2 linked regions of the Coturnix japonica genome follow. The protein of the gene in region 1 interacts with the protein of each later gene in a pairwise test. Links are inferred from orthologs where the notes say so. Each region holds a gene or a part of one and is shown on either strand. Other genes may lie near its edges.

Evidence for each region.
Region 2: the proteins of KRR1 (region 1) and RPS14 interact in binary tests that used the Homo sapiens proteins (3 or more experiments, as listed by UniProt). The link is inferred for Coturnix japonica from reciprocal best matches to the Homo sapiens genes KRR1 and RPS14.

The regions. Positions count from the first base shown.
Region 1 is NC_029516.1:34,296,112-34,301,031, reverse strand, and holds the end of KRR1 (KRR1 small subunit processome component homolog), read left to right. Parts: coding exon 1-86; intron 87-447; coding exon 448-573; intron 574-672; coding exon 673-756; intron 757-1,472; coding exon 1,473-1,529; intron 1,530-1,742; coding exon 1,743-1,913; intron 1,914-2,082; coding exon 2,083-2,160; intron 2,161-2,265; coding exon 2,266-2,359; intron 2,360-2,648; coding exon 2,649-2,791; 3' UTR 2,792-3,266; downstream 3,267-4,920. UniProt on the Homo sapiens protein: Part of the small subunit (SSU) processome, first precursor of the small eukaryotic ribosomal subunit.
Region 2 is NC_029528.1:4,932,156-4,938,397, reverse strand, and holds RPS14 (40S ribosomal protein S14), read left to right. Parts: upstream 1-2,636; 5' UTR 2,637-2,875; intron 2,876-3,968; 5' UTR 3,969-3,970; coding exon 3,971-4,119; intron 4,120-4,316; coding exon 4,317-4,478; intron 4,479-4,941; coding exon 4,942-5,018; intron 5,019-5,761; coding exon 5,762-5,829; 3' UTR 5,830-5,873; downstream 5,874-6,242.

The DNA.
Region 1 (4,920 bases):
CTACTAAGAAGACTTTTGATCCGTATGCGATCATCAGGGCTAGAGATTTAATAAAACTTCTGGCAAGAAGCGTTCCATTTGAACAGGTTTGTAGCCAATAATGTTGTAATGCTTATAAAGTTGTATGCTTTCAAAATATGGGTTTTTCAGGTAGTAGTGAAGTGCTGGAACAGGTCACCCAGGGAGGTATGTATCTACTCATCCCAGGAGATTCTTAAGGTCAGGCTGGATGGGGCTCTGAGCAACTTGATCTGCCTGTAGGTGTCTCTGTTCATTGCAAAGAACTGGACTAGATGACCTTTGAAGGTCCCTCCAATTCAAGTGATTCTATAATTATATGAAAATATATATTTAAAACAAACGTATCTGCAACTGAAATGAGTCTTTTGGCTCTTGTGAATGTTACTTTTGGATTCAGATGTTAATACCTGCTGCTTTTATCTTCAGGCAGTTCGTATTCTTCAGGACGATGTTGCGTGTGACATCATTAAAATCGGTTCCCTAGTGAGGAACAGAGAAAGTTTTGTAAAAAGAAGAGGACGACTTCTTGGGCCCAAAGGATCTACTCTGAAGGTATTCCTCATAAGTGTATTACCATAAAAAATCTTAAACACAAGGTCTGCGTGTCAGACCTTCAGCTGACACTATCTTTATTCATTTTTGTTGTTCTAGGCCCTGGAGCTGTTAACCAACTGTTATATTATGGTTCAAGGCAACACTGTTTCAGCTCTTGGACCTTTCAGTGGGCTAAAAGAGGTAAGGGAAGGCAGATGAGCAGTTTATGTAGCTCACTTTTGTGCCTAGCTGTGGCGTGGAGTACAGGCGGAGTCTGGTAGCCTCAAGAGTTACTCCACTGTCCTTTCAGTAACATGTTATTAAGCTACTTTTATGTGAATTCCTATAGGCTTAGCTCCTGAATTTTGTTAGCTGCTGAGATCTTTCCGCCTTGAAACTAAAAGTATTTTTTGTGGTTTTTTTTTTAAGGTAAGGCTTAGTAAAGATATCAAAGGGGCACCTTCATGTATTTCTGAATAGTGTGTCTAGTCCTGCCCCTTGGGCTTTTATTTCTGTAGCTTACAGTGCAGAATTTCTGTAGTTTCAGTTAAGAGGTTTGAGTGAAAACATCGCAGTGTTAATGTGATATAGCATGGATTAACATCTAGTATATTCTTAGTAATTCTAGAGGGAATAATAGATGTCAAAAGCTAAAACACAACATAACATCCATGATGGCATGAAAGTAGTGGTTGTTGTGATGCTGCAGTGTATCAGAAGCATGACAGTATAGCTAACGATATTTTTGAAGCACTGTGCCTTCTAATTGGCTTTGTAGTTTTTTTAGCCTATCTGCTCTTAGTTTTGGGGTGAGAAATGTTCTGATTTTGAAGAAACTTAGGGACCTTGATATTTTAATTGATTAGAGTATGAAGTACCTGCTGAGTGTTCCATTCATTTTCTTTTATTAAATACAGGTTAGGAAGGTTGTTCTGGACACAATGAAGAATATACATCCCATATATAACATTAAGGTTGGTGTGCACCTTTGAAAGCATTAAGTCTTTGTACACAGCTTTATGTTAATAATTCTATGTTTCAGTGTGTGCTATACGAATATATATAAATGTATATGTGTAAACTGTGCTATAAGAACCTTTGATAAAACTTTTAGTTTGGAGCTCTTAGATACTACTGCAATACTATTGTTTTATTAACTTCTTTGTGATGTTCTAAAACTACCAAAGACTTTGATGATCAAACGTGAATTATCAAAAGATCCTGAACTGAGGACACAGAATTGGGAAAGATTTTTGCCTAAGTTCAAGAAGAAGAACTTGAAAAAACGCAAGGAGCCAAAGAAGAAAAATGTTAAGAAGGAGTACACACCATTCCCACCTCCACAGCCAGAAAGCCAGGTCAGCTGAAACTTTATTTGGTTGTGCAGGAGTATATGGTGGTTTTAAATCCTGCTCTCGTTAAGATGAAGTTAACGGGCCCTTTCTGTCATGTTTTTGTTTCCTGATATTATATATCTTGCTTGTAATGTGTAATTGTCTAAAGCTTCTTGGTAATTTTCTTGTATAGATTGATAAAGAATTGGCAAGTGGTGAATACTTCTTGAAAGAAAGCCAGAAGAAACGAAAGCGAGTGGAAGAAATAAAGGTAAATTTGTTACAACCAGTTAAAAAGTGCTTCATTTCTGACTTTGGTTTTTTTCCCTTTTGCCCGGCTCTGTTGGTACTTCATACTTGTCATTGTTAACTGTAGGCAAAGCAAGCTGATGCAGTCAAGAAAAGACAAGAAGAAAGAAATAAAGCTTTTATCCCACCAAAGGAAAAGCCAGCTGTGAAAGCAAAGAAAGGTAAGTTGTTTTTTTTTCCCCCATTCTAAACCCTACTAGTTAATTCTCCACATAATTACTTTGTGTAAGATGTAGCCATTTGAATTCCGTTGAAAGATTTGTGTATCATGCTAGATTAAGTAAAAATGATTGGAATAGTTTATAAAATCATTAGTGAACATAAAATGAATCCTAACTAATGCTACGGGATGCAGTTTAATGTGGATACACATGAAGTAATCTCACAGGCTGTGGAAAAATAAGAGAAGTAAACCTTGTGTCTCTCTGTGCTCGTGTTTTTACTGTGTAGCTTCTACTGAGAAAAAAATTGATATTGAAGCCATCAAGGAGAAAGTAAAGAACGCAAAGAAGAAGAAATTAGGAGCGCTTCCTATGGAAGAAGTCAAGTTAAAAATGGCAGCAGATGAAAAGAAGAAAAAAAGGAAGAAGTAATTCACTGCTCATTCTGCTCAATTTTCTCCTACAATAATGAATGTTCTCACACTTGGAAAAACCAAGACTTGGAGGAAACTTCTTGCTGTCAATGTAGTGTGGATGAGAAATTACTAGGCAGAAAGATGGTTCTCTTTTCACAAGCCCATTTTAACAAATGGACCTGGAGCAGCTATGCAGAATTGTCAAAGTTGGTGAACAAAATCTGCTCTCTCATACCTTTTGAGTACATTTGGATAACACCTGTCTGCTTCGAGGACATTTCATATTAGAAACATTTAGAAGTTTGATGCAGAATGTGAAAGGGTAAAGGTTGGAGAACTCAGTGGGAGTTAAATGGAAATCTTCTATGAAAGACTACCAAAGAACTGTCAAGATGGGCAAGATTTATTACTTTTATTATGCTTTTACTTCTGTAAAAGCAGGGGGTTTTTTGTGTGTCTTGTCTTGATGTCAATAAACTGTTTTAATATATTGTCTTTAAATCCTTTAATTATTCACCTACTGCAAAACCCACATCTTGTATCCCTAGAAGCAACTCACAGCTTCGTGTGAGGATTAGACAACCATAATCTTAATTGAACACCATTAATAAATGGTCATTTATTAGCGTTATCTTGTTAGGCAGAATATGACACAAAGCAAATGTGCTGCAGGGAGAACATAAATGGTACCATTCTTTACATGTGTTCTTAATTTATTTCTTACAAGAAATGAGAACTTAGGTTCCTTTTAAACTTTAGGTTTCCTTTATTCAGCCCCTTCCCCTTTTTTTGAAGGAAGTATAGAGGTTATTTCCTAAAAGTGGAAATTATGATGAAATTGAGTACACTAGAAAAGCAGATGTTACTAAGTTGATGCATCTCAGGTTCGAGAAACAAATGTAATAGTAAGTAGGTGGTCGGGCCACACCAATTTCATGACTGTGTTTGAGTGCTTTACCAGACTTTAGAGTTCTGATTGCTTGCACATATGGTAAAGACGATTATGCTGGAACACTGCAGCTCACTTTGCTTAGGTTAGTGGCCTTTTATTTGAAACTGGTGTGAGAACACAGCTGTTTTCTTTGTTATGCGTCTAAATAAGAATTTAGAACATATGTTAAAGAGTCAGTGTGTGTGTGTGCATAGAGAATCATCTAGGACCTCTGCCCTTTAGGGTTGGGGACAATCTTGGTATGACTTTCAGTTACCTGGTCTGTTCTTGGAGTTTAGTTCTTGAAGAGGAAACACAGAATCACAGAATTGTAGGGGTTGGAAGGGACCTCTAGAGATCATCGAGTCCAACCCCCCTGCCAAAGCAGGCTCCCTACACCACGTCACACAGGTAGGCGTCCAGGCGGGTCTTAAATATCTCCAGAGAAGGAGACTCCACCACCTCCCAGGGCAGCCTGTTCCAGTGCTCAATACTCTGTCATTCATAAATGGCAGTTTAATTACTTATCATGTGAGAAAGTACTGCTCAACAGATGCTTCACTGAGAAAACAAGTAAACTGCACACCCATCACAGAAGCTGTAGTAAGCCGATACGTTTAGGGATACCAGCCCCATGATAAGCTCTTAGACACAGTACTTGATAGGTAGTGGTTGATGGCATGACAGGGAGACCTGAGTTCAGTGTCAGGTGGGTTAGATCTCTCAAGGGCTTGGGCTGTTCCCAGAGACACTGCAATAGTTTGGTTCTCGGTGTGATCCCACAAGTGAGTACTTCAACAGAGTAATTTGCAGAGCCTGAAGCCAGTAAGGAGGAGCTGAACTGGATCCAGGGGAGGTACAAGGAGAGAGTGTCCTCTGTTATATTACGGTCTGGATGAGACCTTTTCAATGCAGAGGGTCCCTGCAGCAAATTTCTGTTTGCTAAAATTTAGATCTTGTTCCATACACGTTAAAATACACGTGTGTGCTTCTGTGGAAGCGTGCATTTTGAATTTAAGTTCCCCAGCTGAGATCTCTACATAGATTTGGCATCAAAGCCCAAACCACAGTAGGACTTACTTGATTTCAGGGAGTCTTATCCTTTTGTCATGAGATGAAGGGGTTCTGTTTAATCTTCTTGGGTTGTTCTGGTTGCTGAGCTTCAAGGACTGTTGGTTAGGCATATATTTTCTTAAATGAGAAAATCTAGCAAT
Region 2 (6,242 bases), on another chromosome or scaffold:
AGAACTGAGAATTCATCCCTAGGAGTGGAAAAACCCCAGCCCACACAGTGCCATAAGGGACTTGATGCAGAATGCCTCCCAGCTGCTTTGGGACTGTGGGCAGAGCAGCATTTCAAACTGCTGGCTTGCTGGAGTTTTTCAGAAGCTCATCTGGAGCCCTGGTTTCAGCTTGTTACCCTGTCAGTGGAGGCTTGCCCATTTCCATGCCTCTGGCTTGCATCTGTTCCACAAGGACATCTGTGAGCGGGCACCAGCCTCAGGGTAGATCATTGCTGTCTGCACTGCACACGCATGCAGGGCTGTGCTGGAGCACAGGAACTGCTAAAAGGGATGAAAAAATCCTCACGGAGGTGAAATGCAAGGGAAGAAAGGCAAAAGAGAGGGAAACAGTAACTCATATCAGAGGTAAAATGGGATGCAGAAAAGTCCCTGTCCTCAAGACTTATGTGAGAGCAGGAGGCAGGCCAAGGGCAGTGGTGGCAGGGGGAGATCAGCCTTGTGCAGGCCAATGGCCCCTTCATTACCCCTTCAGTCAATCAATCCCATGTCACTGGAGCCCCTGTCTGGAATTACAGCAGCGCTGCCAATGTATATTTTAAAAGACTCTCATCCAATATTTAAACAGGAAGATCCCTGGTGCAGTGGCAAGCTGCTAAGGAAGAGGGGAGCAGGCAAGGTGGCCCACAGGGTCAAGTGGGTGTTATCATGACATCTGTGGGCACAGAATGCTTTCCTGGGGGAAGCCCGGTGCAGGGAGGTGCAGGGAAGCACTATGGAACAAACCTGTTCTCCCCAGAGGCAGCTGGGAGGGCTGCATCCAGGAGGGACCTTGCACGCTTGGCTAGAGAAGGGTAAAGATACCCTGAAAGACACCAGCCTTGCTGTGTACATGGAAGCTGCTCCTCTGGGGACAACTGGTACAGCAACAGCATCAGAAGCAAAAGGCTGTGCTGTCCAAAGGGGCTCAGCTGCAGTCGTTCATTGCACTGACCTCTTTTCATGCCCGAGCAAAAAAAGCTCCAGGCACTACAGAGGTTCAGAAATTTCCCACCAGCCAGCAGCAAGTTCTGTTGTCTAAGCAGAGGCATTAGACTCCCCCAGCAGAAGTATTTTCAGGCTTTCAGATTGTGCAATCCCCCCCCATGGAACAACTGTATGGAGCTTCCCTCATACCTCATCTGCAACCATCTGCTTCTCCTCTGGTTTAATTGAGGAGGTATTTATAAAAGCAGAGCAGGATCAGGCCCAAAAAGCATATTGCAAATGCTATTATGTCAGATTTGATCTGTCTTTTTTTCCAAAGGTCTTTGATGTTTCCCATCTCTCTCCTGAGCCCTATTTAAATCAGTAGGAACTGATTTAAATATTCACTCGCTGGATTGCCTTAATGTAAAACTTTACACATTGGCATTCTATTTGCTGTAGAGGTGGAAGAAATCTCCCATGATAATTGTTCTAGGAGGGAGACCCCGCACCATCATTCACAGCTACAAAGTCTATGTCTCTAACATCAGCCTTACCAACCGAGAATTATGTGCATTTAAATCTCTCCCACCAGCTCCTTAAGAGAAAATGCTCTGAAGACTTCCACATATTAAAATATCTAAGTACATCCCTTTATGGGAATAATTCCAAAATACCCCCTCATAGACTCATAAATCTTCAGTGAGAATGACAGAAAACGCTACGCATCCAGCTCTTACAGGAAATAAGGAAGACATTAACAGCATTAGAAACCTACTTGCTTTCTGCAGAGATGTCTTAGCACAAAGCAGTGTGTGCAGCTGGGCTACATTAGCAGGTAAGCCTCATCCACGAGCCTCCTGGCATCAGACAGCTGAACAAAGGGGCTGAAGGTCCACAATGTCAACAGGGATGTTTATTGTAGAGTCTGTCTGTTTGGTTTTCTTTAATGGGTCAGGCAAGGTCGCTGCACATTAAGCTTGGGGTTTAAGGTCTTAATCAGAAGCCTTGAACAGAGCGGCGGTTGTCCTTCTGGATGAAGACCTTAATAGCTCAATACCTCAATAACTAGGAGTCACCTGATGGCACGATGGGTTAGGAGCGAAGCAGAATCTCCCATTCTCCATTCAAGCCTCTTGCACAGCGTGGGATTTTGTTGGCTTCAAACAGAGTCATACTTGCACCCTCTTTGTGGCCACTAAGGTTTAATGAAGCCTCAGTGGAAAAACAATGCTGTCCTGTCGAATTACTCCAGGCTTTCGCAGGGGACCGGAGCAACCCCCTGCCATTTGTTTATGAAGAAATGTTCGTGCAACCAGCTCAGGCCTGTGTCTGTAAAGCTCTCCCAGCACAGCTCTGTCAGCAGCACGAAGCTGGCGCTAAAGCAGCGCCAAGGAGAGCAGCCCTCAGGTGTGGGGCACCTGCTGTGTGTCCCATCCCATAGGGAGAGGACTTATGCCTCACAGACATGTCGTACAGCACTATTAAGCAGCGTTTATAGGTACGTAACACGGCCCTTATCGAACACGAAAGGAAGAAGCTCTCAGGACAGACTCCCCTCAGGGCGGGGATGGCTCGGAAAGATGGCGCCGCCATCTTGGGGAGAACAGACCGGAAGGGTGGGCGCCGCCATCTTGGGGAGGAGACACATGAGGGGAGGGCGCCGCCATCTTGGGGAGGGGACACGTGAGGGAAGCGCGGCCGGTTCTGCTCCGTAGCGTTATTTACGGTGCTAACGGGACCGCCGGGCTCTGTATAGAGAACGGCAAAGCGCTGCTCAGCGATACCACAAATATCTCCGTGCCGGCGGAAACCGCCCGTAGCCGCCATCACTTCCGGGTGAGCGCGGTAATCCCGCCTCCTGACCCCCATCACTTCCTTTCCAGCGGCGGCCGGCGGAGCAGACGTGCAGGTGAGCGCGGCGTTGTGTTGTATCCGCCGCCATCCAATCTCCTCCGGTTCGCTGTGCTGTCCCTGCCCGCTGCCCGTCTCCTCGGGACCGGGGCCGAGCGGAGCAGCGCGCTCAGTGCCGGCGGAGCGCGGTGTTTAGGCCGCGGTGTTTAGGCCGCGGTGTTTAGGCCGCGGTGTTTAGGCCGCGGTGTTTAGGCCGCGGTGTTTAGGCCGCGGTGTTTAGGCCCGCGGTGTTTAGGCCGCGGTGTTTAGGCCGCGGTGTTTAGGCCGCGGTGTTTAGGCCGCGGTGTTTAGGCCGCGGTGTTTAGGCCGCGGTGTTAGGCCTCAGCCGAGCCGGGAGCTGGCGGTGTTGTGTGCCCGCCAGGGGTAGGGGGCGGCCGGAGGGAGAAGGGTCCCTCGCTCTGAGGCTTATAGTGGCGTGACTGAGGTGAATGTGACTGAGTTCAATGGCTGTGTGAGCTTCTGTGTTACTGCAGGGTAGTAATGGCGGTGGAGCCTTGCACCAAGTGTGTCAGGAAGGGGATTCAGCTTTGGAGTGGCCGTGTTGGCCCCTGTTTAACAACCGGGTTTAAGTGCTGCTCTCTGTAGAGGCTTTGGGGTGAAAGCAGGGTGTGTTCTGAGCTGATTTCCTTTATAATATCGTTATAATTCTTTCTTTTCTAGTCGAAGGCCTCAGACCCTGTTTGACAATAGGAGCAGATGTGTGGGCACCTATCCAAACACTTTGGCATGCTATGTTTGCCATCCTCCACATCAGTGAAGGCTTTAGAGGCAGAAGCAGCACTTGAACTGGACCCAGCGGTGTGGTTAGGTGGCTAATGAGCCCCTGGTGGGACTCAAAAGGTCTTTGAGAGCTTTGTGATAGTGTCTGGGTCTTTAGTAAATGTTTTGTTTGATGTTGTCTTGGCTTCCATTAAGTAAATGAGTGAGGGGAAGTCCTCAGTGCTGCTGGTCATCGTGGAAGGGGTTTCCTCACACTGTTGTGGTAGCCCATGCAGCAAACAGCTGTGATAAAGCACATCTCAGTTCCTTCTGTGAAGTGCAGCCCTGCTAAGCCAAGATGCAGTTCTGAAATGTTTCTGCTCTTTGTTCAGAAATGGCACCTCGTAAGGGCAAGGAGAAGAAAGAAGAACAGGTCATCAGCCTGGGACCTCAGGTTGCTGAAGGCGAGAATGTGTTTGGGGTCTGCCATATCTTTGCTTCCTTCAATGACACTTTTGTCCACGTGACTGATCTCTCTGGCAAGTGAGTATTGCACACTGGTCACCTCATTGTGTTACCCGGCTCCTTCACTTTGGAAAAGAGTAATTATATTTGACATGGATGTCTGCAGAAATCCTTGAGTTTCTACTGAAATAGAGACGTGGTTCTGTCAGTGCATCGAGGCTGTTTGGCAGGAAGGAAAGGGGAACTGCTTTGTTTCTGAATGGGTTCTTTTGCAGGGAAACCATCTGCCGTGTGACTGGTGGTATGAAGGTGAAGGCTGACAGAGATGAGTCCTCTCCCTACGCAGCTATGCTGGCAGCCCAGGATGTTGCCCAGAGGTGTAAGGAGCTGGGCATCACTGCCCTGCACATCAAGCTGCGGGCTACCGGTGGGAATAGGTATGTCAGAGACTGCTTGGCTTTATGAACTAGACCAGGTTACATCTGATTGTCCTCTGGTCTTTGTGTTCTTGCACTGCTCAAGTTGGCAGTGTAAATGCACCTTGGGAGTTTGGTTCTGACACAGGGTGTTTGGCTGACATTGCTTTTCACTGAGCAGCTGGGATCTGTTCTAAAGTATCATTTTCAGTTGGATGTACCTGGGTGTGCTGTTATGTATTTATTTGTGGCAGTGAAAAGAGGAGCTTTTAAACTTGAAGATATGTTACCATAGAGTGACAATAAAGTGTGCTTGACTGCATGTGAATAGTTTGGATCTGGAAGGGGAAGAAAGGGAATTTGATATCTGAGTGTTTTGGAGCAGGGAAAAGTGATTTTTTTTCTTTTAAATTGACAGTTATTTGTTATTTATGTTAAACTTGTGAATCTTTAAGGGATTATTAGTTGTGATTCTTTCCTTTAGGACCAAGACTCCAGGTCCTGGTGCTCAGTCAGCTCTGAGAGCTCTGGCCCGGTCTGGGATGAAGATCGGCCGCATTGGTGAGTAATGGAGAATGTGATTTGTGGGCACTCGTGCCTCTGTGTAGAGCCTTGCTACTCTGAAAAGGTTTTGAGGGATTATTAAGTAGAAGGAGCTCTGTGAACGTGTGTGACAGGTTGACTTGGGACTGTTGTGCTTAGCCTTTGTCTGATGCTGCTGTAGGTGTAATTTAGTGGAAGCAGATGCATCTTGTTTCAGTGAAGTTTAGCCAGAAGGTGGCGTCAGTCGACTCCAGATTATCAAGCTTTTGGCTGCGTAATAAACCTCAGCTGTACACTGGGATGCTCATGGGCCTCTGATGTAACTGTTCTTTTTCCCAGAGCAGCAGTTTAGTTACCTAGAAGTGTTGTGCTGGTCCTGGTTTAAGACCATGACTCAGAAATAACTTGAATTCCTCAAACTATTTGAGGGAGATCATTGAACTTGGTGGGGAAGTTGTAAGGAAGGCGTAGTAGTGTCAGCTGCCCTCAGAATTGCATCATGCACAAACTGTTTCTCTAGAAATCCCGTGGCTTCTTATGTAGGTGAGCTGGGAGATGGGGATGTTTGTGTCCTAAGCTTTAAAAGCCTTGGGGCTGAACTCATTTGGTGAGTTCACAGGTCTTACCTCCTATAGACAGTTCATTCTGCGGTGACAGGCTGCTTAAGGTGACTGCTTGGGCTGGGTGGGTTTTCCCAGTTGGTTTCTTGGAGGTACCTCTGTCAGGTAACGGAGGGTTTCTTGGTTTTCTTTCTCCCACAGAGGATGTCACCCCCATCCCCTCTGACAGTACTCGCAGGAAGGGTGGTCGCCGTGGACGTCGTCTGTAAACAGTGCTGCACCTTTTGTCATTAAAGCTCTCTTATAAACTTGGTCTGTGCGTTTGCTTACTGAACGATGCTTGGAAGTTGAGCAGCTTTAGTTTGATGGCATCCACGAATGGCTTATTCTGAATTTCCCTCTGAAGTGGGGCTTCCTGTTTGTGGGGAGGTTGTTAGTCCTGCTGTAACAGAGTTGCTGTGTGAATACACACTAGGTAGGTGCTGGCTTACTGCTCTCAGCTGTGCTGTTGGTATATTTATGCTTCCAGATGTGTTTAAGAGAAGTGACTGTTTCCTGGTCCTGCCCTGCTTCCTGCACTGTTGTTTACTCTCCACTAAATGTGCTGCCATCATCTGGAATGAATAAATGCCCTTTTCCACCTTTTCGAAAGGTCCTTTTCCTTAGCTCTCCAAGCTTTGAA